3 linked regions of the Caenorhabditis elegans genome follow. The protein of the gene in region 3 purifies or fractionates together with the protein of the main gene of each other region. This does not show direct contact. Each region holds a gene or a part of one and is shown on either strand. Other genes may lie near its edges.

What was found.
Region 1: the proteins of gls-1 (region 3) and F48F5.6 fractionate together in Caenorhabditis elegans (co-fractionation; one large-scale study listed by BioGRID). This does not show direct contact.
Region 2: the proteins of gls-1 (region 3) and rnp-9 fractionate together in Caenorhabditis elegans (co-fractionation; one large-scale study listed by BioGRID). This does not show direct contact.

What each region holds. Positions count from the first base shown.
Region 1 is NC_003283.11:20,447,212-20,452,791, reverse strand, and holds F48F5.6 (uncharacterized protein), read left to right. Parts: upstream 1-2,832; 5' UTR 2,833-2,845; coding exon 2,846-3,042; intron 3,043-4,295; coding exon 4,296-4,410; 3' UTR 4,411-4,517; downstream 4,518-5,580.
Region 2 is NC_003284.9:10,165,425-10,173,244, forward strand, and holds rnp-9 (RRM domain-containing protein), read left to right. Parts: upstream 1-1,880; 5' UTR 1,881-2,029; intron 2,030-2,619; 5' UTR 2,620-2,628; coding exon 2,629-2,727; intron 2,728-2,778; coding exon 2,779-2,871; intron 2,872-3,015; coding exon 3,016-3,076; intron 3,077-3,554; coding exon 3,555-3,642; intron 3,643-3,969; coding exon 3,970-4,045; intron 4,046-4,123; coding exon 4,124-4,243; intron 4,244-4,289; coding exon 4,290-4,356; intron 4,357-5,511; coding exon 5,512-5,699; intron 5,700-5,753; coding exon 5,754-5,900; 3' UTR 5,901-6,269; downstream 6,270-7,820. Other genes in the region: C07A4.2 (SCP domain-containing protein), read left to right, coding at 6,922-7,014, 7,073-7,227, 7,276-7,375, 7,424-7,750, 7,797-7,820.
Region 3 is NC_003279.8:8,734,448-8,743,659, forward strand, and holds gls-1 (Germline survival defective-1), read left to right. Parts: upstream 1-2,624; coding exon 2,625-2,771; intron 2,772-2,820; coding exon 2,821-2,971; intron 2,972-3,673; coding exon 3,674-3,861; intron 3,862-3,959; coding exon 3,960-4,036; intron 4,037-4,088; coding exon 4,089-4,182; intron 4,183-4,229; coding exon 4,230-4,559; intron 4,560-4,656; coding exon 4,657-4,976; intron 4,977-5,024; coding exon 5,025-5,218; intron 5,219-5,303; coding exon 5,304-5,542; intron 5,543-5,590; coding exon 5,591-5,699; intron 5,700-5,744; coding exon 5,745-5,981; intron 5,982-6,111; coding exon 6,112-6,227; intron 6,228-6,270; coding exon 6,271-6,463; intron 6,464-6,513; coding exon 6,514-6,677; intron 6,678-6,741; coding exon 6,742-6,921; intron 6,922-6,968; coding exon 6,969-7,050; intron 7,051-7,101; coding exon 7,102-7,296; intron 7,297-7,357; coding exon 7,358-7,500; 3' UTR 7,501-8,101; downstream 8,102-9,212. Other genes in the region: prp-4 (Pre-mRNA processing factor 4 (PRP4)-like domain-containing protein), read right to left, coding at 49-166, 216-383, 430-709, 752-889, 956-1,108, 1,174-1,260; dhfr-1 (Putative dihydrofolate reductase), read left to right, coding at 1,775-1,909, 1,954-2,084, 2,131-2,283, 2,326-2,476. UniProt on the Caenorhabditis elegans protein: Required maternally for germline survival by forming a maternal complex with gld-3. During hermaphrodite development forms a complex with gld-3 which promotes the sperm/oocyte switch freeing the translational repressor fbf to turn off sperm promoting factors.

The sequences.
Region 1 (5,580 bases), on a different chromosome or scaffold from region 3:
AAATGCTTCAAAATTCCAAAAAATAGCTTCTTCTGAAAATATTTAATTATTATTAGTTCTTGAACTTCCTTTACTACGACCTGATATTTTAATTTTTCTTTTTATTTTGTAATTCAATTTTTTCTTGTTCAATAAACTTTTAATCTGAAAACTTATTCAAGAATTCAACTTCGGTGAAGTCTGAGCATTTTTCAAATTTTTGCCCGAATGGCGCAATGGGTTTTTCCAGAACTACCAATCAGAATACCGGGGTTCGAGCCCGCGCTGTGGGGAATATTTTTTCTCGGCAGGGCTAAGGCAATTTCAGTGTGTTGTGTTCGAATTATAAAGTTAGAAAACATGTGTAAACTAGTTTTTCGCTATTTTTTGGAATTTTGACGCATTTTCGGAAAATTTTGGGTAAATGGCTCAGTGGGATTTTTCAGAACTTCCAATCACAAGGCCGCGGTTCGAGTCCGCACTGTGGTCGAAACTTTTTTTTCATTGTTTTGAAATGGTTAGTAAAGTAATTGCGAGATGCTGAGTTTAAATTCTAAAATTTTTTGAGCTTACAAGCAATTAAAAATCGTTTTTCATCACTTTTGAAAATCTTTATTCGAATGGCTCAGTGGGATTTTCCAAAACTTCCTATCACAAGACCGGGGTTCGAGTTTGCATCAAAACTTTTTATTTTCCCATAGTTTTCCACGTCTTTTGCAATGTGTAAAACCACTAAAAAAGTGATTAAAAATTCGAGGTGGGTGCCGACATCTCTCCTGATTTTCTCTCGATTTTCTCACCGAGCCGGAGCCAACTGTTGCCCAGTTTTTGATCTCTCAATCTGTCACACTATCTGCCGTGTGATACCTTTACTACAGAGATAGAGAAATAGGAAAAGTTGTGGGAAGAGGCTCGGAGCACAAGAAGAACCCGAGAATGTTTGCTCTTTTTGTGCTGATCATTTTTACCTCTTACCGCCGGCATACACACACACGCAGAGAGACGGCAAAAAGGTTTGCGGTAATCTGAGAATTTCAAAATGTTCTTCCCCATTCTTTTCTTCCACTGTTTTTTTTTCTAAATTTTAAGAGGTCAAGATCGAACTTTAAAGTCATTTTTGAACTTTGAAACTTGAAATTTTGAATTTAGACCCATCAATTACCCTATGCCCTATGAACGTAGCTTAAAAACCAAGAAAAAACTTTGACCACAGTGCGGACTTGAACCCCGGTCTTTTGATTGGTGGTTGTGGAAAATCCTACTGAGCCATTCGGGCAAAATTTTGAAAAATGCTGAATTTGTGTAATTTTGGGCCTTTGATTCTATTGGAAAAAACATTTCAAAAAAAGGAAATTTCAGCCTTTCAATCTCAATAACTTTTAGCTTTGAGTCGAAATTCAATATACTCATGCTAAATCAGGGGTGCGAATTCGGCAAACCGGCAATTTTCCGGTTTGCCGATTTGTCGGAAGTTTTCAATTCCGGCAAATTGCCAATTTGTCGTTTGCCGGATATCAGATTTGCGGGGAATGTTTAGAGGATTTTTTTTTCAAAAGACGAAAACACTTAAACCTGTGCCCTTTTTAATTTTTTCCCGATTATAATTAAAAATCTGAAATTCCCAAAAAAAATGTGCAAAACCACAATTTGCAGAAAATTTCCGGCATTCCCCGTTTTTCTGGCAAATTCGACAAATCGGCAATTCCAGCAGTTTGCCGATTTGCCGGAATCGTTTGCCGCCCACCCTTGCCCTAAATTACCCCTGCCCGCAGTATTTCAAGATTACTATGGAAAATGTGGTCAAATCTATTTTCTTGGGTTACTGTAGCTTGGTGTTTGCGTACCCAACACCGATTTTGACAGAATTTTGCACTAACGTTTGAAAATTGGGCCATCCGACTAATTTGACGATACAATTCAAATTTTTGAAATTTGAAGTATTTTCATCAAGTTTTGAGCTCTTTGAGCTTGTCAGATTTTCCAAATTACTTATTTTTATTGAAAAATATTGATTTTTTCCGATTTTATTTTTCTTTCAAGTGCGTTCCAAGTAAAATCCGGTACATTTTTAGTTGAACCTCATGGGAATTGCTTCTTGCAAACAACTTTGAATGACATTTTTGACTTGCACTCTTTTTTTGGTGAAATTTTTGGATGGGGAAGAAGAAAACGAAAAAAGAGCGAAGAACAAACTCATTTTTGGTGAAATATCTTATTAGGTTAAACTGGAGGAACTTTTCTTCGTTTTTTTGTGAAATTTTTTTTGAAATTTGGGGTTTTTCCGCTGTTTCAATTTTTCCCAGAGTTTTGAAATTTGAGTTTCAATTTTTTTTTGCATGCTCAAAATCTTTTTGGTAAAAATTTCATTTTAAAAAAATTGCAAAAAAACCTACAATTTCGAATTTTAACAAGATTCAGACTTAAGCTATTATCTATGTCTGAAATCCCAATTTCTAACAATTTTTGAGCTTTAAACCTTTAAAATTCAGATTCAGCACTTTTTATTACCTAACAAGCAACGAAAAAAAAATCGACCACCGTGTGGACTCGAACCCCGGTCTTCTGCTTTGTAGTTCTGGAAAATCCCACTGAGCCATTTGAGCGAAATTTCGAAAATGCCGGAAATTGTCACAGACATTATTCTTGGAATTTTTCGTGATTTTGTATGCTTTAACTTTTTTTGTAACTAATATTGAACGCTTTAATTTTAGTCTTTTTTTTTGTTGATAAAAATTGAAAAAAAATCGAAATTTTCACAATTTTTTTTGTATTTCTTTAAACTTACTATTAAATCCCAATTATTCTACTTTTTAAAATTTTCTTCACAAATTCGCCCACAAAACCTTTTTATAGTCCAGCACAAGCAATGTACCCAGAATATGGGCTGGACGTGGACGAATTCAACCTTGTGCTCATTATTTTCTCGGCCACAGTCGTATTTTTCGCCTTAATCGCCTTAATTTTGATGTACTGCACAATGAGTTGTGGTTGCTGCAGACGAAAGGAAAAACGAAGAAAATTGAGCAATATTCCACAGGTTATGGTTACTCAGCATAGAGACAAGTGAGTTTTTATTGCTAAAATTAGACCGAAAATTGAAAATTTATTTTGTGCAAAATCTCGTCAAATCTGATGTATGGCACTCAAATATCAAGCTACAGTAATCCAGAATACTAGATTTCACGAAATTAAAAAAAAGACCAAAACCTTAAAATTGGGGAATAGGGGTAATTTAGAGTGAGGATTTTGAATTTCGCCTCAATTTTAAAAATGATTAAGAGTGAAAAGCTGAAATTTCAATTTTCAGAAATATTTTACCCATAGAATTAAATATATTAATACCTAATATGACCGCAAATCGGCAAACCGGAAAATTGCCGGTTTGCCGAATTTGCACCCCTGATTTAGAATGAGTATATTGAATTTCAACTCAAAGTTAAAAGTTATTGAGATTGAAAGACTGAAAATTCCTTTTTTGGAAATATTTTTCCCATAGCATTAAAGACCCAAAATTACACAAATTCAGAATTTTTCAAAATTTCGCCCAAATGTCTCAGTAGGATTTTCCATTACCACCAATCAGAAGACCGGGGTTCGAGTCCGCACTGTGGTCATACTTTTTTTTTGGTGTTTAAGCTATGTTTATAGGGCAATCTATGGGCGCTGAATTCAAAATTTTCAGTTTTAAAAATATATTCAAAACTTTTGAGAGTTGAAAAGTATGACAACTTCAAAATATTTGGATTCTGATTTGAAATTTTGATTCCACGTGACAAACTGCACCTATTCCCAAAATTTCTGAATTTTAGTGCAAACCCACTTGAAATTTGGTGTCTGGTAGGGAAATACCAAACTACAGTAACCCGGACACAAAACTACAGTAGAGTATTTTTGAATTGAAATTTATAATTTTTTACTTCTGAAAACTATAAAAAATTCGAATACTCAAAATTTTAGTAGAAATTCGAACTCCGCGTGGCAAAATACATATAACTCTTAAGTTCCAAAAACTTTGTTCAAAACTCTAGGAAATCAAGTACAGTAGTAACCCGGGACACCTGATTTTACGACATTTTGCACTGAAAATTTTGAAAATTATAGTTAGGGGGGATTGTAGAAACTATGTAGCAACCTAGGATCCAAAATCACATTGATTTTTTTGTCAAAATTTATTATTTCAAACAAACTTTTTTTGAAATTTTATGGACAATATCGTTTGATGCCGAGTGTGGTCTAGGGATAATTTTAACGTAAATTCCGATTTCCAGCTCTAAATTTCAAATTTCAAACTTCCAGAATCCATTTTTTGTTTCCAGAACACCCCTATCAATTGACTGCCCAGATTTGGATTACATCGACGCTCGCAACACAAATCTTGTTTCATCAACAGTTCAAGTGGAGTCAGTTCATCAAACCCCAACTCTTTCATAATTTTTGATTTTTTTACTTTTTCCAATGCTTTTATGTGTTCAAAAAATATCATATTTGCTACATGTTTCTAGAAAAAAAATTTTGGATATAAATTTGCTTATTTTGCTAAAATCTCAGAGAATTCCAAAAAATTCAGCCATTTCCAATCAATTTCAAAAAAGTTCAGAAAGCATTTCAGAGCCATTTGAGAAAATTTCAAAAACGCAATTTCCAATTCATTTCAAAAAATTTCAGGGAATATTTGAAAATTATTCGATGATATTACAAAAATCTCAAAAGCATTGCGGTATGTTTTATAGAATCAAAAAACCTTTCAGGAAATTGTCAATGATTAGAGAAATGTTAATACTAATTTAGAGAAACTTGATGAAAGTTTAAGCAGGCCCAGGAATTTTCAATAATAATAGTCAAGTCAAGAAAAGGTGTAAAATTTCAGAAAATTTGAAAATATTTGTAGAATTCTTAACAAAATTTTTTCTAATTTTTGGGAAGAGTTCTGAATTTTTTAAAGGAATTTTTAATGGTGGAGTAGCGTCTGTGGGTTTTTTTGCCCTAAATGACAGAATACAGTCCCAATATACCGAATTTAAAAACATTTTAATTTTCTAAACTTTTTATGATTTTTTCAAAAAAAATCCCGCGCAAATCTGTGACGTCATTTTTGAAATTTTTGCGTTTAAAGGCCAAACTAATTGGTTTTTCTATATTTTTTTTCAAAAAATGAATCAAGATAGAATGAATGACAGAAATTGTTTAGGTGCTCGGATGGGTCACTCTCGCAGAAGAGGTAGGCGGAAAGGAGACAGTTATATGGTGTGCGTCTTTCCACACGTTCACCTCCTTGGCGTCACTCTCTTTGTAAACGCCGTCTTCTTATCGAGGACCATAATTTTTACAGCATCGCTATATTCACCTCTTCCTCTTGTGCAAGTCGTGTTGTGCTTGCCAGTTGGCATCCCCAGTTCATCTCCAGATGTTATCGCGTATGGTCAAAGAAATGGTATGTATTAAATATGTACCAAGTTTGCTTATGTAGCAACTATCTACCATCATTATGGCTTGAATTTCGTCATCTCCAATCTTTATGGCATTGTACATAGACTAAAACATTTTTCCAAATATTTCATAGTGTGTTCATCTGGTAAATTTCCTAGCCGGATGGGTGAGCCT
Region 2 (7,820 bases), on a different chromosome or scaffold from region 3:
GCCATGCCTTCTCCCTTTTTTACACTTTTCCATAGTTTATATCAACACATTGCATGGTATACAGATTGATATTTGCGATTGAATAAAATAAACATTTGAAGGTGTAAACTGGTCAGTTTGCTCTTGCTCATTCTGCTATTTGGTTTTACCCTTTTTTTCAAATTGATAAGACTTCTTTAAATTAGAAGTTTAATTTTTTGAAAAGATTTGTTTCCAAATAATGCTTAATTAACGTATAAATGGAAACATACTTTTTTTTCAAAATTTAAGGATATAGTACACAAATACATACTGCTTCAGAATGTTCAACCATTTAAGGATACATTTGATTCAAGTAATTTTAATAATTAATTTTTTTGTTTGTATGTAATTTATACAAATCAGAAAATGTTGGTCGTTTACAGATTGAGTCATCTTATTGTTTTTAATCATTGATCTTCGTGACAAAAATGCCGCTCGTTTCCCAAAAATCTATTCCCTTTTTGGAATACGCCATCAAGGCGGATTTTCAATCTTGAAGTATCATTTCCTGAAGTTTTGATATAAGAATAAAATATTATAATTGTAAACTTTATTGATTACAAATCGATTTTGAAGTTGATATTCTTGTTTAACATTTTAATCCTGAAAACACATTAACAAGAAACGTGCTTCATTTGCGCTAAAGTTTTTATCTTTGAAAAAGTCAATGGACTAACATTTTTAGCTACCTGCTTTTAACTACTATTAAGCTTAAGCGATTCGAAAAATTACGGTCTTCACGTCTGTCACTGTGAAACTCTTTTTCTCCTATTTGTAATGTTCTTCACCTAATAAACTGGTGGTTGTATCGATTTGTTGTTCGTCTTCCTTTCCAATACGAATCTGATTGTTATTGTTCAAAAAAGGAACATTTTTATTTCCTCTCGGCTGACTCCGTGCACACTGTCTATTCCTCCCTATTCACAAGCATTAAAACATTCTTTGTTCGTGTCCACCGTTGTCTATTTTTTTTGCCTTCTGCTAAAAGCTCTTTCAGATGCATGAATCTATGAATTTAGGTGTCTCGATTTGGTGCGAGACCCTATTCTCACAGTTGAAGACATTTTCCGCCTTTTTTTATGGGGCCCATGCCTCTCTCAAATATCATTTGTTTATTCCATTTTGCGTATTACCGCTATTCAGCCACACGAACCCTCTAGTGCATTCGTTGCTCATTTTTCGAGTGAGACTAATGGACTACTACTAGATGAATAGGAAAATGAAAATGGAAGAATCCTGAGCTCTCTTACATGAAGAATGACAACGTATAAAAAAGTCAAAGGAAAGGAAAGGTGCTCAAGCTAGATGAGAAGAATAAAAGGAGGTCACAAGGGGTGGGCACTCGGTAAATCTCAAATCTGGTGGGAATGGATGGTAAAATCACAAGAATGAAACGACGTTCCGCTCTTGAGCCCATCGTGAGAAACAACACTGGATGGGTTAAATGTGGAGTCCGGTCTTAGCTCCCAAGTTTGTTGCACATTTTTTCCTTCCCTTCCTTTCCATCCTCTTATTCGCATTTTTCTTGTTTCCGACATAGTCTACACCTCAATATATTCTATTGTTTTCGACTTTCTTAATTAGTTCTCCACCCAATTCCCCTTGGGACAAGGCGGAGCACATCACTCTGCTACAAGAAGATGCTCGGCCATGAAAAATGAATATTGCACCTTCTTCCTCCTTCTACTTTTTTATTTTTTGACTCATTTTCCGGTTATATTCCTTGCCACATTTTTCCATTTATCGATAATCCATTATCACAGTTTAGTTACCTTGTTAGTTTCGCGAGGGATTTGAAAACAAATCTCTTGGCTCTGTTTTTGCTCTTATTTTTCAATGGGAATGCTAATCCGATTCACAGCGTTTTTCCAGGAACATTTGCATTCTTCTCACATTTAAACAAGTCCTGGAACACCACAGTGGTGTTAGTACACAATTCAAGCTGAAACGATCACAGGACCTCATCTCCGTACACGAAGCCGAATATGGTTCGGCTCAGCAGGCGAAGGTAGGTGACTTTTTAGAAATTGAAAGCAATTCGTTGGTACTAAAACCGAGGGCAGTACAAGAACATTAGCATGTGCTTGTAATAAGCCATGTAATTGTTATTCCCTTTTTTTGCTCATAATAGGTAATGCAAATTTGCAATAGATTTTTTAATTGCCACATTCCCGTCAGTAATTTTCCTGGCAAAGAAAAGGAACACAATCTGATCAATCATAAAAAAGAAAGGTGGTTTACAATTCTAAATAAATACAAATGGATAATGCATCTGGTTTCTGTAGAAATAGTGACGTGAACGTTGTTAAGTATGTTCAACAATTGATTTTCTCAAGTTGTCAGAAATATTTAAGTTGTTGCTTTTCCAAATGTTAAGCAGAGAAAAAACAACACTTTTAGTTAAAACAAGCTTCCCAAAACTAAGTTTTATTACATATTGTCTGAATTCACAGGTTAACTGATATGTTTCGAACGATTTTTTAGAAGCAATCACGTGCAATTTTGAGATTATTCTTTCTAGATTAGTCTTTCATATTGATTCTTTCTGAAAAATTGAACTTTGTCAAAACACAGAAATGTTTAAAACAGTCCTTGCAGAAAGCACTCATGTGCTTACCAACTGCGACTCCTCAGACATCCTTGCTTTACTCTCAACAAATGCCTATGAAAAACCTATACTCGCAGTTCCCGGCAGGTTTATTAGACGTAGGTTGATCGGATATTGTGCAACTCAATAATTCATATACCTGTGTTCAGACACAGTCGATTCAATCCTTGGACACATGTCCTCTGCTTCTCCAGACCGCCAGCCTTCCTTCTTTGTCACACATCGGTCTTCCACACTCTTTGGTTTGTTCATTTGCCCATTTCCGCTTATTTCGCACCCTTCTTTCCCCCTTTAGTTACCCTTTCCTCTCGCGCCAATCTTTTTGTCCGATCGAAATACATTCAACTAGTACGGATTCTCATTTGGCAAATGCAATTGTGTTGCAGGAATCAGCCGTGTTGCACTCAGCCTCGGAGCCGCCGATGGAGATGCGAATTGATACAAGCAGTGAGTGTAGATTTGCAGATTTGGATGAAAAGTGTGAAAAATGAATTTGTTTGAATCAAAGATCCTATCAATCTTTATTTTTCAATTACTTTTCTGGCGCCGTATTGGTGTCAGGTCATAAGTCAAAATAGCTGTGAAAAAATATGAGACCAAAAAAAGAAGATAAAGATAAGTCATTTGATTGACCTTATCAATCACACAGACGGATTCACTTTTTTTTTTCAAAACCGTTCTGGGTGTTATTGTATTCTTTGGTTGTTCTTATCACCCTTATCAGACAATTCGAGGTTGTTTAGCCTCATAGCTGCTAACCGTTTTTCTTGAAAGTCACACGTTTTTTATCGTTTTTTATGTTCCGTGGTCAAGAATTGGAAAATATGAAACTGACGACCAAGATGAGATGAAATGAAACCATGCGTGCCAGCACTAAAAAAGAAGAAGATTAGCAATGCAATATCATTTCTTTGCTTCTTTTCAGAGCATTTTCATGTTTTTGTCGGGGATTTGAGCAAGGACGTGAGCAATGAGCTTTTAAAATCAACGTTTACAAAATTCGGAGAAGTCAGGTAAATTTGAGGATAAAATACTTAATTTTGCTTGAACACGTTAACACTATACAAAAGAGTTCGAATCAAAAAACAAACAACACCCTCGTCATTTGGATTTAAAAAAACTTACATAACTTATTTTTTTGAGTAACTAGCAATTTTCCATAAAAATTTTTAAAAGAGTATATCGAAACCGTACTTGGCAAAAAAATATCATCATTCCCAAACCGAAATTTAATAAATTTTATGACAAAATATTGAGCAAAACTGAAAGCAATATTCTCCAACCATTGTTAGATTTTTTACCCAATCTTGACATTTATACCGCGGAAGTATTTTTTTCAGTGAAGCTAAAGTGATTCGAGATGTTCAGACTCAGAAATCAAAAGGATACGGATTTGTGTCATTTCCCAACAAACAAGTTAGTTTCTCTCTGTTTTTTTTACGAAGCCCATTGGTCCTATTTATTTTCGTCGAGAAAACTGAGCCTTGTTTTTAGAATGCAGAGAACGCGATAGCCGGAATGAACGGAAAATGGATTGGGAAACGAGCTGTGCGGACCAACTGGGCGGCACGAAAAAACAGCGAGGAGAATCGCGACAAGCTGACTTTTGAACAGGTGAGATGTTGTAACGTTAAATCTCAATAAAACATGACAGCTCCAGGTGTTCAACTCAACGAAAGCCGATAACACGTCAGTTTATGTTGGGAACATAAGTCAACAGACTACAGGTTAGTTATAGGTAGACAGTGTACTTCATATCAGTCATTAAAAAGGAAATAAATAGAGTTTAAGTTTTTGAAATAAAGAAAACAATCTTTAGAATTACATCTATAGTTTCTTCTGAAATTTAAAGAATTGGGAAATTTGCATTAATAGAGAGACCGTATACTGCTCCGGTAACCAATGGTGAAAGTTGTAGTAGCGCTAGTGGGTAAATTGCTAAAAACCAGTTCCATGGGGACTAAATGGCCAAATATTATGGCCAAAAAAATAGTAAAACTTTCCAAAAATTGTTTTGAAAATTTTTTATTGGCAGTTCGCGATCGCTTTAAGTCACTTTTATAGAAAACTACGCACTTTTATAGAAAACTACGCAATCAAACGAAAAAAGTAATTTTACAAATTAAAAAAAATACTTTTACTGAAATATTTCGTCATTGTGGTTCCATATGCATGTTTCAAAGCAATTTCCCCATTGGCTCTACTCCGCAGTGAAACATCGAAGTTTATAATTGTTATAAATTTTATTTGACAAATAATATTGGAAACTTAATTGAAACGTTTATTTTTTTTAGAATTTTTCCAAATCATACTAATATTTTTGATATAGGTTTTCCGTGAAATTTAATTTTTTAAAGTAAACTAGTGTTATTGAGCATTTGGATAATACAAACTGATTTTTAAGAAGTAAGTTGACAGGCGTTGTAATTTTAATTTTGCTAATTTCGCAATGCACATCTATGATACATCTTTGAACAAATTAATAGCAATAGTTTTAAAAAGTTAATGCTCTATCTGATACATTTTACTTGTACTGGTTAAAATGGTATTTTTGCAGGCATTTTTTAATGTTTACAATCAAATTAAGACACTGTAGTTGTTGACAAAACATAAAACCATTAAAAGATCATTTCAATTTCTCGAATGGCCTTATTCGGTAACTTTCCCATAGTTTATTAACAGAGTAAACCAGTTCCATGTCTTTATCTCATTAACAAACTTTCTAACGGATATGAGGCTATCATCATTTTTCCTCATCACATCCTACTGCTTGACACTTCCGCCTGGTAGACAGTGAGAACGTCCCATGAAATTTGATAAATGACTTTCTGCCTTTTATCCTATCACTGCCATATGTTATATCTATGTACATATTTTTATAGACGCTGATCTCCGCGATTTATTCTCAACATATGGTGATATAGCGGAAGTGCGTATTTTCAAAACCCAAAGGTACGCGTTCGTCAGATATGAGAAAAAAGAGTGTGCCACAAAAGCAATAATGGAGATGAATGGAAAGGAGATGGCTGGAAATCAAGTCAGATGTTCCTGGGGAAGAACTCAGGCAGTGGTAATAAATAATCAGTTATCAAATGCTTTGAAAATCACAGTATTTAATTTGCAGCCTAATCAAGCATTAAATCCTCTCCCAATTGATTTGTCATCCTTGATGATGCCTACAATGCTTCCAACTACAATCCCACTAATTCAAAATCCCTTCTTGAACTACGAGCCAGCCACTCTTTTGTACAGTTCCTTCCCACAATGGTGATTAATTTATTAAGACTCTTTAGGAAGAAAATGAAACGCAAAAGGAATAATGAGTCAGAACACGGTTACTTTTTCAAATTTCAAAATATTTAAATTTCCGCTTTTTTGTGAGTGATTCAATGTTTTTTTTTCTTTTTTCGAGTTTCCGGTGTTTCATTTTCCATCACAGTTTTCTTCCTACAAATAGAGGTCCGAGTACATTTTTTCTTGTTCATTTTTAACTTTTCTTCCCGTCTGATGTTTCCTGAGTGGTTCTTTTTACTTCTTTTCTGTCATTTTCCTGCTATTCATATTTTCACATTTTTCACAGAATGATAATCATTTTTGTTTGTGCAAAGGGATTTTAATAAATTATTACAATGGGATAATTGAATGAAAGTTCAAAAGCTGTGTATGTGTGGGAAGGATAGAGAAACATAGAGAGAACTAAAGCATTATGCTATTAATGTTTCAAATCATCATGACTAAGAATGTTCACGTAACAATTTATCTGCTTGACAACACTTTTAGATTATTTGCGAAATTTTTTTTTCAGAAAATTTCAATTCCAAATTACTAAGAAAAAGTTTCAAAACTATTGTTCATTTTACACGTGTCTGCACTTTCAAGATGTTTTCCGGTGATCTCATGATTTGAATAATGTGTCCACCTACACTCATTTTTGTTAGGGTCAGCAAAGTGGTATTCCAAAAACCAAAAACCTGATACTTTGCATTGTCGAATAAAATTGAAATTAAATTTTCAAAGTACAATGTCCTTCTAGGGGCCCACCCATTATTTCATGCGTCATAAGAGTCTGTATGTCTGCTACCAACTATCAGATATAAAGTGACTGTATCTTAACTATACAGCATACTGATTTCACAAATCACTGTGGTCTACCACTATACCATTCTGTAATCTTCTACTACTACTGCTGCCTCCTCCTGACAAGGTCATTGATATCCTACTTTGCCCGCCCACCCCCGGGAGACCCATCGATTCCGAAAAATCACTGCTAGTGTCCTATTCAAACTTGGCGCATGTCTATCATTCAGGCCCATATGTCACTGTCCTTATCACTCGCTCTTTTTTCACTTCTCTTTTTCCAAATACCGACCACTGATGCAAAAAGCGTAAGGGATAATAGAACTTAATGATATATCTTTACTTTCACTACGTTCATCTTTTCAGATCACCGTGTCAGTAAAGGAATACACAGGAATCAGAAGAAATGAAATTCGTGGAGTCGAAAATCAATTCTATTACTTCCAGTTTTGCACATGTCCATCAACATTTACTGAAAGAAACTTTAAAGTCAGCGAATGTGTTTGCTCAGACGCTCAAAAGTACTTTAATACAATACTTTAGGTAATTAAATAACGTTAATTTTTCAGAGGAAAAAAACTAGATGATTCTATTCCACAAGCGAAATTCTTCTCTTCCTCAAGAAACTGTGGCACCGGTTTTTGTATCAACGCAAAAATAGACAATGAAGTAAATTTTTTTAAAGATCACTTTTTCATAAATAATATTTCGTTACAGCAAGGTGAGAAATTGTTTGTCAAAGTGTTCATTGGTTCCACTGTTCTCACCTACCCGGATTATCAAGTGCTTCCGGCCAGGTCAACAAAGAGTGTTGCCATTCTGAAAACTAATAAAAGCTCGAAAATAAGATTGACATACTCGACTGAAACGGATGATGATGGAACGTCAAAGACTGCGATAGAAAAGACACACTGGAGTAACACTATTCTTCGAGATTCTCGTGGAGGTGCCTTGGACTTTTTCAGCCGACTAACGAACCAAAAGAAATACGACTTAAAATCGGCTTCCGTACCTCTGGACACTGATGTTAAACGATTAAGCAATGTATGCAAGTAGCAAATATTATAGTGGCTTATTGAATTTGTTTCAGATTGGTGCAATTAAATCTTACCTA
Region 3 (9,212 bases):
GTATTTTCGGCTCTAAAATCGTCGTGTTATTACCATTAAAAAACTTACCATGCAGTAGCGAGATGATGACCATTTGGATGGAACGCAACTTTAGATACTCTTTGTGGATGTTGTTCTAGTTCTCCGATTGGTGATTCCTGGCTTAGCGACCATAGAAGAACGGTTCCTGAAATCACGAATTTTGAGAAAATTGAGCAAAAATCAGTTATATTTACCATCATACGAACACGAAACCACATTCAAAGAAGAATAATCATTCTGAGTAAATGCACCGGGATGAAAACGTGCACACCCTGCTTGAGATGAATGTCCAATAAATTTAATTTCTTGAGCACATTGTTCTCGCTTCCAAACTGCCACTGATCCGGACCAGCCAGCGGTAACTGAAGTTTTTGATTAGTTGGAAAGTTCTACTTAGAAAAAACAAACCAATATGTTCAGAATCTGCTGAAAATTCACAAAAAGCCACAGGGCGTGTGTCTGCAACTTGAGAAGCATGAAGATTGATTTGTTGAACCCATTTGTGAGCTTCTTGACGAGCCAAAGCTTTTTCGTGAGCAGGGCGAGCAGCTTCTTCTCGAGCTTTGTCAAGTCTTAATTTAGCTTTTCTTAGAGAAAAATCAGCGATTGAAACGCGTGCCATCCGAAGTTCAATCGGACCACGATGATACCAAGTAACGGTTTCTTCGTCTGCTTTATCAGCATTCACCTTCAAATTTTTAAATAATTTTTCAAACATTGAAAAACTTACTTCATCAGTATGCAAAACGGCTGCAATTTCATCTTCAGACATTGTTGAAAGTAGAGCTCTAAGTCTTTCTCTTCTATCCAATGCATCTTCTCCGAACAAACAAATTGGTTGGTTTAGAGCACGAAGTTTCAGTTTTACCTTTAAAATATATCTTCAAGTGGGTAGTTATTAAAAAAATTTTATTCATATGTATCAAAACTGTACCTGAACATCATCTGTTGGCAATGTGAGAGTTCTTGCTCTCCGTCTTCTATCAAATTCTGCAAACATTTCAGCATCGTGGCGTGAATCTGCTTGATTTGATACTTCCATTCGTTCCAAAGACACTGTGGGTCCATGGTTTTGCTGTTGTGCATTCTGAAATTTTAAATTAAAATTCAGAAAAAATAACATAGTCAAAGAATTCATGAAAAAAAACATACCAAGATTGCATTCACGCTTTCTGCATTCGCCAGTGATCCAAACTGTCTTGGCGGTGCTGGAACAGCAAAATTGCCATTTTCAGCCATTTTGTGTGCTCTTAAAAAATTTAATTACTTTAAAAACCACTGTAAAGAATATGAAGTTATATATTAGGACATTCAGAACGAAGATGTGAGACATAGGAATGGGCTTGTAGTTTTATTATAATTTATTATATTTAGTTGTGAAGTTTAAAACATTTTAAAGTGAACAAAGGAAAGAAAATGGCATAAAAGTTCAAAAAAAGCGGTGAAAATTCTTCGAAAGTGGGAACCAGTAATCGCGCTCTAATGATAATTTGAAGAAATCTGAGGTTCTCTCACTTCTTCTCGATTCATTTTCACCCTCATTTTTTTTTGATTATCTATTTTTATTGATTTTCCCACGATTCATTATCTTTATCTTCGAAATCTGTATTGTTTGAAGATTTCAGTCGATACGAAGTCGAATGGAAGCGTATTTCAAATGTGCTTCGTTTTGCTGTGCAAAGTTCTCATTACCCGTTTTTAAAATTTTCTCTGGTATCTCAATCGAGTTATTTTCTATTTCTAGGCATTAAAAATGAGAAAAATGAACTTAATAGTGGCTATGGATGCCGAAGGAGGAATTGGCAAAAATGGCGTGTTGCCATGGCGAATCAAGAAAGACATGCAGTATTTCGCGTCTGTTACCAAAAATGTTTCTGATCAGTCGAAGGTTGTTCGAGATTTCTAACTAAACTTGTAACATAACTTTTGTAGAGAAATGCAGTTCTCATGGGACGAAAATGCTGGGAAAGCATTCCAGTAACTCGCCGCCCGTTGGCAGGACGGCTAAACATTGTTTTGAGCCGACAACTTCCTGCGCAAAAGTCCGATGACTACATTGTTGTGTAAGCTGTCATGAAATAATATTTAACCTGTTGTTGTTACATTCAGAAACTCGCTCGAAGCGGCTATGAAACTACTTTCGGAGCCACCATTTGTGGATTCGATCGAAACAATCTGGAATATCGGTGGAGCTGAAATCTATGATCTTGCGTTGCGAGAAAACTTGGTTGATGAAATTCACTTGACACGTATTTTCAAAAAGTAGGGTGCTTGCACAGTTTTTTTACTCTGTCGTAATTTCAGCTTCGAAGCCGATGTTCATCTCAAGTCACTCGATTTCAGTAAAATGGAGAAAGTTCAAAATGCCGAGGTGTCATCGGAAAATTCAGAAATTTTCGAAGAAAATGGATTAAAGTTCGAATTTTGCAAATGGAAGGTTGTCGAGAACCACTGAATTTTTTTTTGAAATTGCTGTTTATTTTTTTAATTTATATGTATTCATTCACCTGTTGTTTACTCGGGCAGCCCACAATTTTCACGTGTAAATATAAAATCTGTACATGATTCTTATTACTATTAACTTTTTGTAATTCATCGTAAGTATGCGATGTTTGATATCTTATTTATTTCATTCCTTCCTTATTTTTTTAAAATTTATCCGTTCAGACGTCACAGCTTTAACTCTTCAAGAAAAGCGTAAGAAGTCTCGGTTAACTGGTATTTTGATGAAAAGTATGGCCAATAAAAAGGTGTGTTGATAAAGATAGTGAAATTCGACATATTTTTCCCTAGTTTCAGAACCATCAGCAAAAGAAAAGTACAGACGGGTCAACGATGAACGGGAATAACGCAACAGCAACTGCCGCTGCAACAACTCAGAATTCATCACAAATTGGACAAAATTCCAATTCCAGTCATAGCGTCACCAACGATAACACTTCCAGCAATAGTACGTATACACGTTTCTCACAAATCTGTTTTGAAATAACAAGGACGGCTGTTCCTAAATAGGTTTTAGAATTTTCTTGCAGCAATTGCAAATTAATTCAAAATTTTGTGTCTTAATTTCCAATGGTTCATTTAAATCGAGATTTTGGAGACCTTGGTCTTCACAATCTGTGCTTAAAAAATGACCCCGAAGAAAAGAAAGAAAGTGAATAGACGAGTACAGAACCGAGGAGGGCAAACATATATAATAAAAATAAAAAAGAGAAAGAGGCCACCAACACAGGCACGATGCCCCTTTTCCATCTCTTCCTCTTCTCTTTTCAATAAGCATCAAGGTGCGAAAGTCGATTTATTTATTATAACCCAAACTATTACATTTGATTTCCCTATTGATGTGATGAGTGATAAGCAATGACTTTTCTAGCATCTAAATTTTAACAATTAGATTGGAACGTCTATATTAATCATTTCATATTTATTGATTTAATTTTAGAATTTGATTTATATATATATATATATATATATATATTCAATGTCCTATTATTTCTATGTATTCTCTTCTGATTTTGGAATACTTCAACAAAATTCTCAAGAAAACGTTAAAATGAAACATAAAGGGTCTCTAAAATGCGGTAAGCAACAATGTAAATTTAAAGAAAATTCAACTCTCAAGATTCATAGAATTTATTTATATTCATTTCAGACGCTTCGACGTCTACATCGTCCATCACCTCAACTACCACTACGACCACTACAGTACCTTCTTCACAGCAGAGTCAATCTCAAAATCAATATTCACATCAAAGACTTTCATCGACTTCTTCAACGTCACAGCAAACTGGAATTTCTAAATTTCCTGCCAAAAAGGCTGGGCACAACGAGCTTGAGAAGGTAAGTAGGCGAAGATAAATTCGACTGAGTCTATCGTGCATAATTATTTCATATTTTAAAACACATGTTTTCTCAACCTGTTTATGATTCACTTGCAGACAAGCAACACTGCTAATTCACAATCGGGTGCTTTCAAAGGAACCACAAATAAAGATCGGCCGAAGGAAAAGGAGAAGTAATTAAATCAGTAACTAGTTAAAACAAATCCTTAGCTTTTGCTCGTTCAGAAACACTCACAGTGGTAATAGGCAAAGTCAGGTTAACCATAATCATCATCATTCAAACCATGTTAGCGGAAATCAGCAGAACCGAAAGAATAAGGTTTGTATAAACGTATAATTACGATAAAAATTAATTTTAATGTTAAGAATCGTGATCATTCGAACCAAAGTTATCGAGGTGGCTACACACATAACCACAATAATTATCACTCGTTGGAAAATGCTAAATCTTCTGGATTTCTGTCAAATTCTTCCCTATCCTCTGCGGGACAAATATCAGCGTCTTCTGCTCCTCCAGTGAGCACAACTCCGACTGCTATTCCCATCTTTCAAGAATCCAAAATAGTTCAAACAGATCCACCAGTCGAAGAAGCAAAAAAGAAGAAGGAAAAACCAAAAATCAAGCGTGATGAAGAGCCGATGCCATATAAGAGCACTGATCCGAAAAATATGGATTCTGTGATGGCATTCAAAGAGGTGATTCATAAATACAAGACATTTTAGTATTTATCATTTTTATTCAAACAAAATTTTTAAAAAGTTATTAGTTTTCAAAACGTAGTTTGGATTGCAGCACGATGAATGGGATAAGGTGGAGTTTATGTGTGAACTTGTTTCTTTCCTGTCTCCAACCGATCTTCGCCTGCTTGGAAATTGTATCGAAGGATCTGTTCGTTGCTATAACAATCAAATGCGGCCAGTAGAAAAGACTTCAAACTGTTCGGATCCAACAGCTGGTTTACCTCAATTCGTTTGCTCTCCTCCACCTCCACCGCAACAAGTTTATTATTTTCCTGGTATTGCGGATGCTGCCCTGTATCAAACAAGAAATGCAGTTAACTCGGTTTTTGTACAGCAACATCCACCTGGTCTTCCACCGTTATTAGGCGGAATGTATGCATTATTGTCGGTGAATTATAATTTAAAAATTTTTTATTTCAGGCAGAATATTATGTATCCACCTGATGCTAACTTTCATCATTCAACCTCTTGTACGACACCTTCATCATCAGTTTCCGTTGCAAATAAGGATGTTAACAATGTACCAGTTGTGCTATCAAGTAGTGTGAACGGAATAAGCAATAATATTCCATCAGATAGACAACAGCTAGATTCCAAACCAAATACTGCAAGAGGTAAAAAATCTTCATCATTATTTGACACAGTTAAAAAATGTATTTTACAACACAATTTCCCTCTCAAATTCGCAACATTTTTCAGGTTCGAGCGGCAATATCAACCAATCTAATACAACATCACCAGAACCGGAGCCCGGTTCTAATCACATCTCCACCACAGCAGCAAACCCTGCACATCCAACTTCAGTGACTGTACCACAGTCGGTACCACCGGTCCCTCAAGAACCAGAATTGTTTCTCAAATCTGTTCTCGATCTTACCAGTTACATATACACTCTCATGGCAGTTTGTTCATCAACAAATAGAAAATCAGCTGCTAAGGTGAATCAGAATACGACTTTAGATGGTATTTAATCGATTTATTTAAAGATCTCTGACTATGTTCAAAATGTTATTCTGAGAGAAAAGAGCCAAATACTCGAACGTATTCCGGATGAACTTGATAAAATTACCGTTTTACAAGAAATCGGTAAAATTGGTAAGTCTTCATTTCCGTGTTTTGGAGTATACTTTTTTGTTTCAGTCGCAGCCATGACTCATCACCCAGCAATTACTCTTGATGACAAAATGAAATATGCGGCTCTGCGGGACGGATTACGTGCTCAAATAGAAACATTGTTTAGACAATACTACACAACTCAGAAACAGTTGGAGCAAAGCAATCTTGTTGTACCATCATCACAAGCTGTTGGCGATGAGAATGATACTGATTCCGACCATGAATCAGAGGAAGAATTTGAGCCACTATCAGGTGTTATGGGTAAGCAATTAATTAATATTTAACAGAATTTTTCACATGCATTTCTAGAAATTTTTCGATAATTAGTCGATGAATTGAGTTCGGAACATTCCAACTAAATCACTGATAACATTCCGCATCTTTTTTTCAGGTTCGCGTTTCGAGAGTAATCCAGTTCAGCCGTCGCCATCAGTTCCGGGAACATTCTTTATCATTCGATTTATTGGACGACAAATTGAGAAGAACGATAATCTTTTCAGCCTGGAGGTAACACGCAACCTGAAGTTTCTGAAATCATAAAGGTTTTCAGATTCATTGGAGTGATGGTGACAGAACATTTGCTCAAAGATCTCGTGATCAATTGAAAGCTCTACAGCATCGTCTTCTTGATGAGTTCGGACAACAGAGAAGTGAAAAATATCTTCATCAAGGATGCACTACATCCTACTCTTCATTTGACGATGATAACAAAAAGCTTTCAGCGAGCACATCTACAATGGAGAGTATGTATTTTCAATTTATAGTCTCTAATTTACAATTTTTATTTTTGCAGCGTTTGCTCCAAACGGAGAGCGTATTGTTCCACGTCTTGCTCGTGATGCGACTCCAGCTCAATATGTTCAATACATCAATGAACTTTCTGACTTGCCAGCTAGAATGATGCTGTCAGCTGTAATATGTGAAGAGTTCAACGGTACCAGAGCGAAAACAGAAGATGTTAGTTTCTGATACTGTTCATTTCTAGATTGATTGAAAAGAACGAATCTATTCCGAAATAAAGCTATTGCAGGAAACTCGCGAAGCATCGGATGGATTAATATATTCTCGATGGAAGAATCCACGTGCCAAATCTCCAGTTCGTTACTTCAAACGAAATGCAACAGGAAGCATTGACCCGATTGAATTGCCTGTCAATATGCAACCATTCCTTTATTCAAATATCCCGCAAACACAAGTGCAGGTTTGATTTCGAATTTTCGTAAAATCTGAGAAATTTTCAATTTCTAGACGCTGTTCCCAAGTTGCTCTAATTGTGGCGGTCCTCACGCTCCGAAACACTGTGAAAAACAAACATTGTTATCGAAGAAAGGCATGTACAAGTTGAATTAGATGGCAATAATGAGAATAATCAATTATTAAGGTGATCATAGAACTCGTTCAGACGGGGAAGGTTCTCAGCAAAATGGTGGAACTTCCTCTTCCAATTCATACGCTCCAATTCATGCAAACCTCCCCCATGCAGTATACATTGAAAATCCGCAAGCAATGTTAGGATCAAATCACTTCAATCATCATCAACAACAGCACATAATTCAGAATACTATATTCCATAATGGTATGTATTAAACTTTTAAAAATTAGAATAATTGATTCAACATGACACAATAATTTCTCAGGTGGACAATTTCGTGCAAACGGAACATATGAACCGCAAATTCCGATAGCATACTATCATGCCCAGGGAACTGTACAAAACTCAAATAATACTGGTGGAGTCAACGGAAACAGTGGGGGCGGGAACCAGAATTCGAATTTCTGAGAGATGCTGAATTGCTGCTCCTTTTTATATCAATTCTTGTGATTTCGTAATAGTTTTCTTCTTTTTTTGTTCTTTCTTTCACCCAATTTTTTTTTCATTGTTTATGTTTAACGCTCACACATTTTAATTTTCATCGACACGTGTATTATTGAATTTCTCTGATCCATCACATCCCGATTGCCATCATCATCCTTAAAGCGACATTTTCTCGTTAGGTACGTACACGTGGTACAACTTCGTTTAAACTATAACAAATTATCACTGAAGTCTCGAAAAACGTTCTCTTTCTCTTCATAATTCACAAGCCAAGACCACCTGATTAGTTTTATTCAATTTTTTCTGTTTTCTATATTTCAAAATGCTGGTCATTTCTCTCTTTCGTTTAGGTATTCACTTTTTTAATTTATACATATTTTTGTTTATATATACATATATCTTTTTGACCACCCCGTCTTCCACCTTCAAGAATAATATCGTTGATTTCTTGTTTTTTTTGTAACCCTATCTCTCTCTCCCTCTCTCTTCCCTCTAAATTTTCTTTCATTTTCCCAATTATTTTAATTGTTTCTTAGGTGCGAAATGAACGGTGGAACTAAAAAAATATTTACAAAACTTTATGCTGATAGAGGAGAAAAACACAACATTTGGGATACAAAAAATTCGAGAATCGCTTCGTGAAATGATGACTCACACTAACATAAAATTTTACACATTTTTAAAAATGAAATACAAATGAAATAATTGAACAGTTTTTAAAGTATGCGACAACTAAGAAAATGCATTTGGAATTAATTATAATCGGGATTTTACAAATTGAAACCACGGAATGAATTATTAAAATCACCACTTTCGAAGATTATTTAGAAATGGAGTAAGTTGTTTCAGAAAAAAAAATGAATGGACCTTGTTACGTCATGTTCCCGATGGACACTTTTCTAGAATCGATTGAAAACTGAAAATGGCAGGAAATGACAATTTTGGATGAGGGTTCGGGAAGTAAAGGTAAAAAAAGAAAAATCAGATGATCCTGAGGATGAAAAGGCTTGATGAACAATTGGAAAATAGGCAAATTTCAGAAAGTTACAGACAAATTTGAATATATTGCAAAGCTTGGAAGACACTGTGTGAAAGAATTGATGATTTTTGGATGATTTGACATTATATAAATATTATTGAATTTAATAAAAAATTAGTTTAAAGGCACATTTGTATATCGTGTCAATGCACCATTAAATTTAGATTTTAATCAAGAAACAATAATATTTTTAATATGTACATATCTGATCAATATGATTTGAGGAAAATTAAAATGTTGAGCAAGAACACGAAACATGATAAAAATGTTGAAAACTCAAATTACTCGAAGAGATTGAGAATTAAAGTGAAAAATCGATATTTTTGGACGAATTCGATCCGTAGTGTTTTTGTTGAAGTTGGCGATATTGATATATGCATCCGCGAAATCTATTTTTGCCCATTTGGCTTGGTTCGGCTGAAATTTTTTTTTGGAATTGCCAAACTAGTTATGTTCAAATTATAATGCCCAATTTATTTTCAATAAAATTTAAATAGATTACCTAATTGCGTCAACTTTAAAATTTTTAGTCAAAAAGACTGTACCTACTCTCGCGACGAACAAAATTCATTTTCAAAAAGGCGTGCGTCTTTCATACCTACAGTAATCCAGCCATCGTTTTTGGTAATGTTCTTCG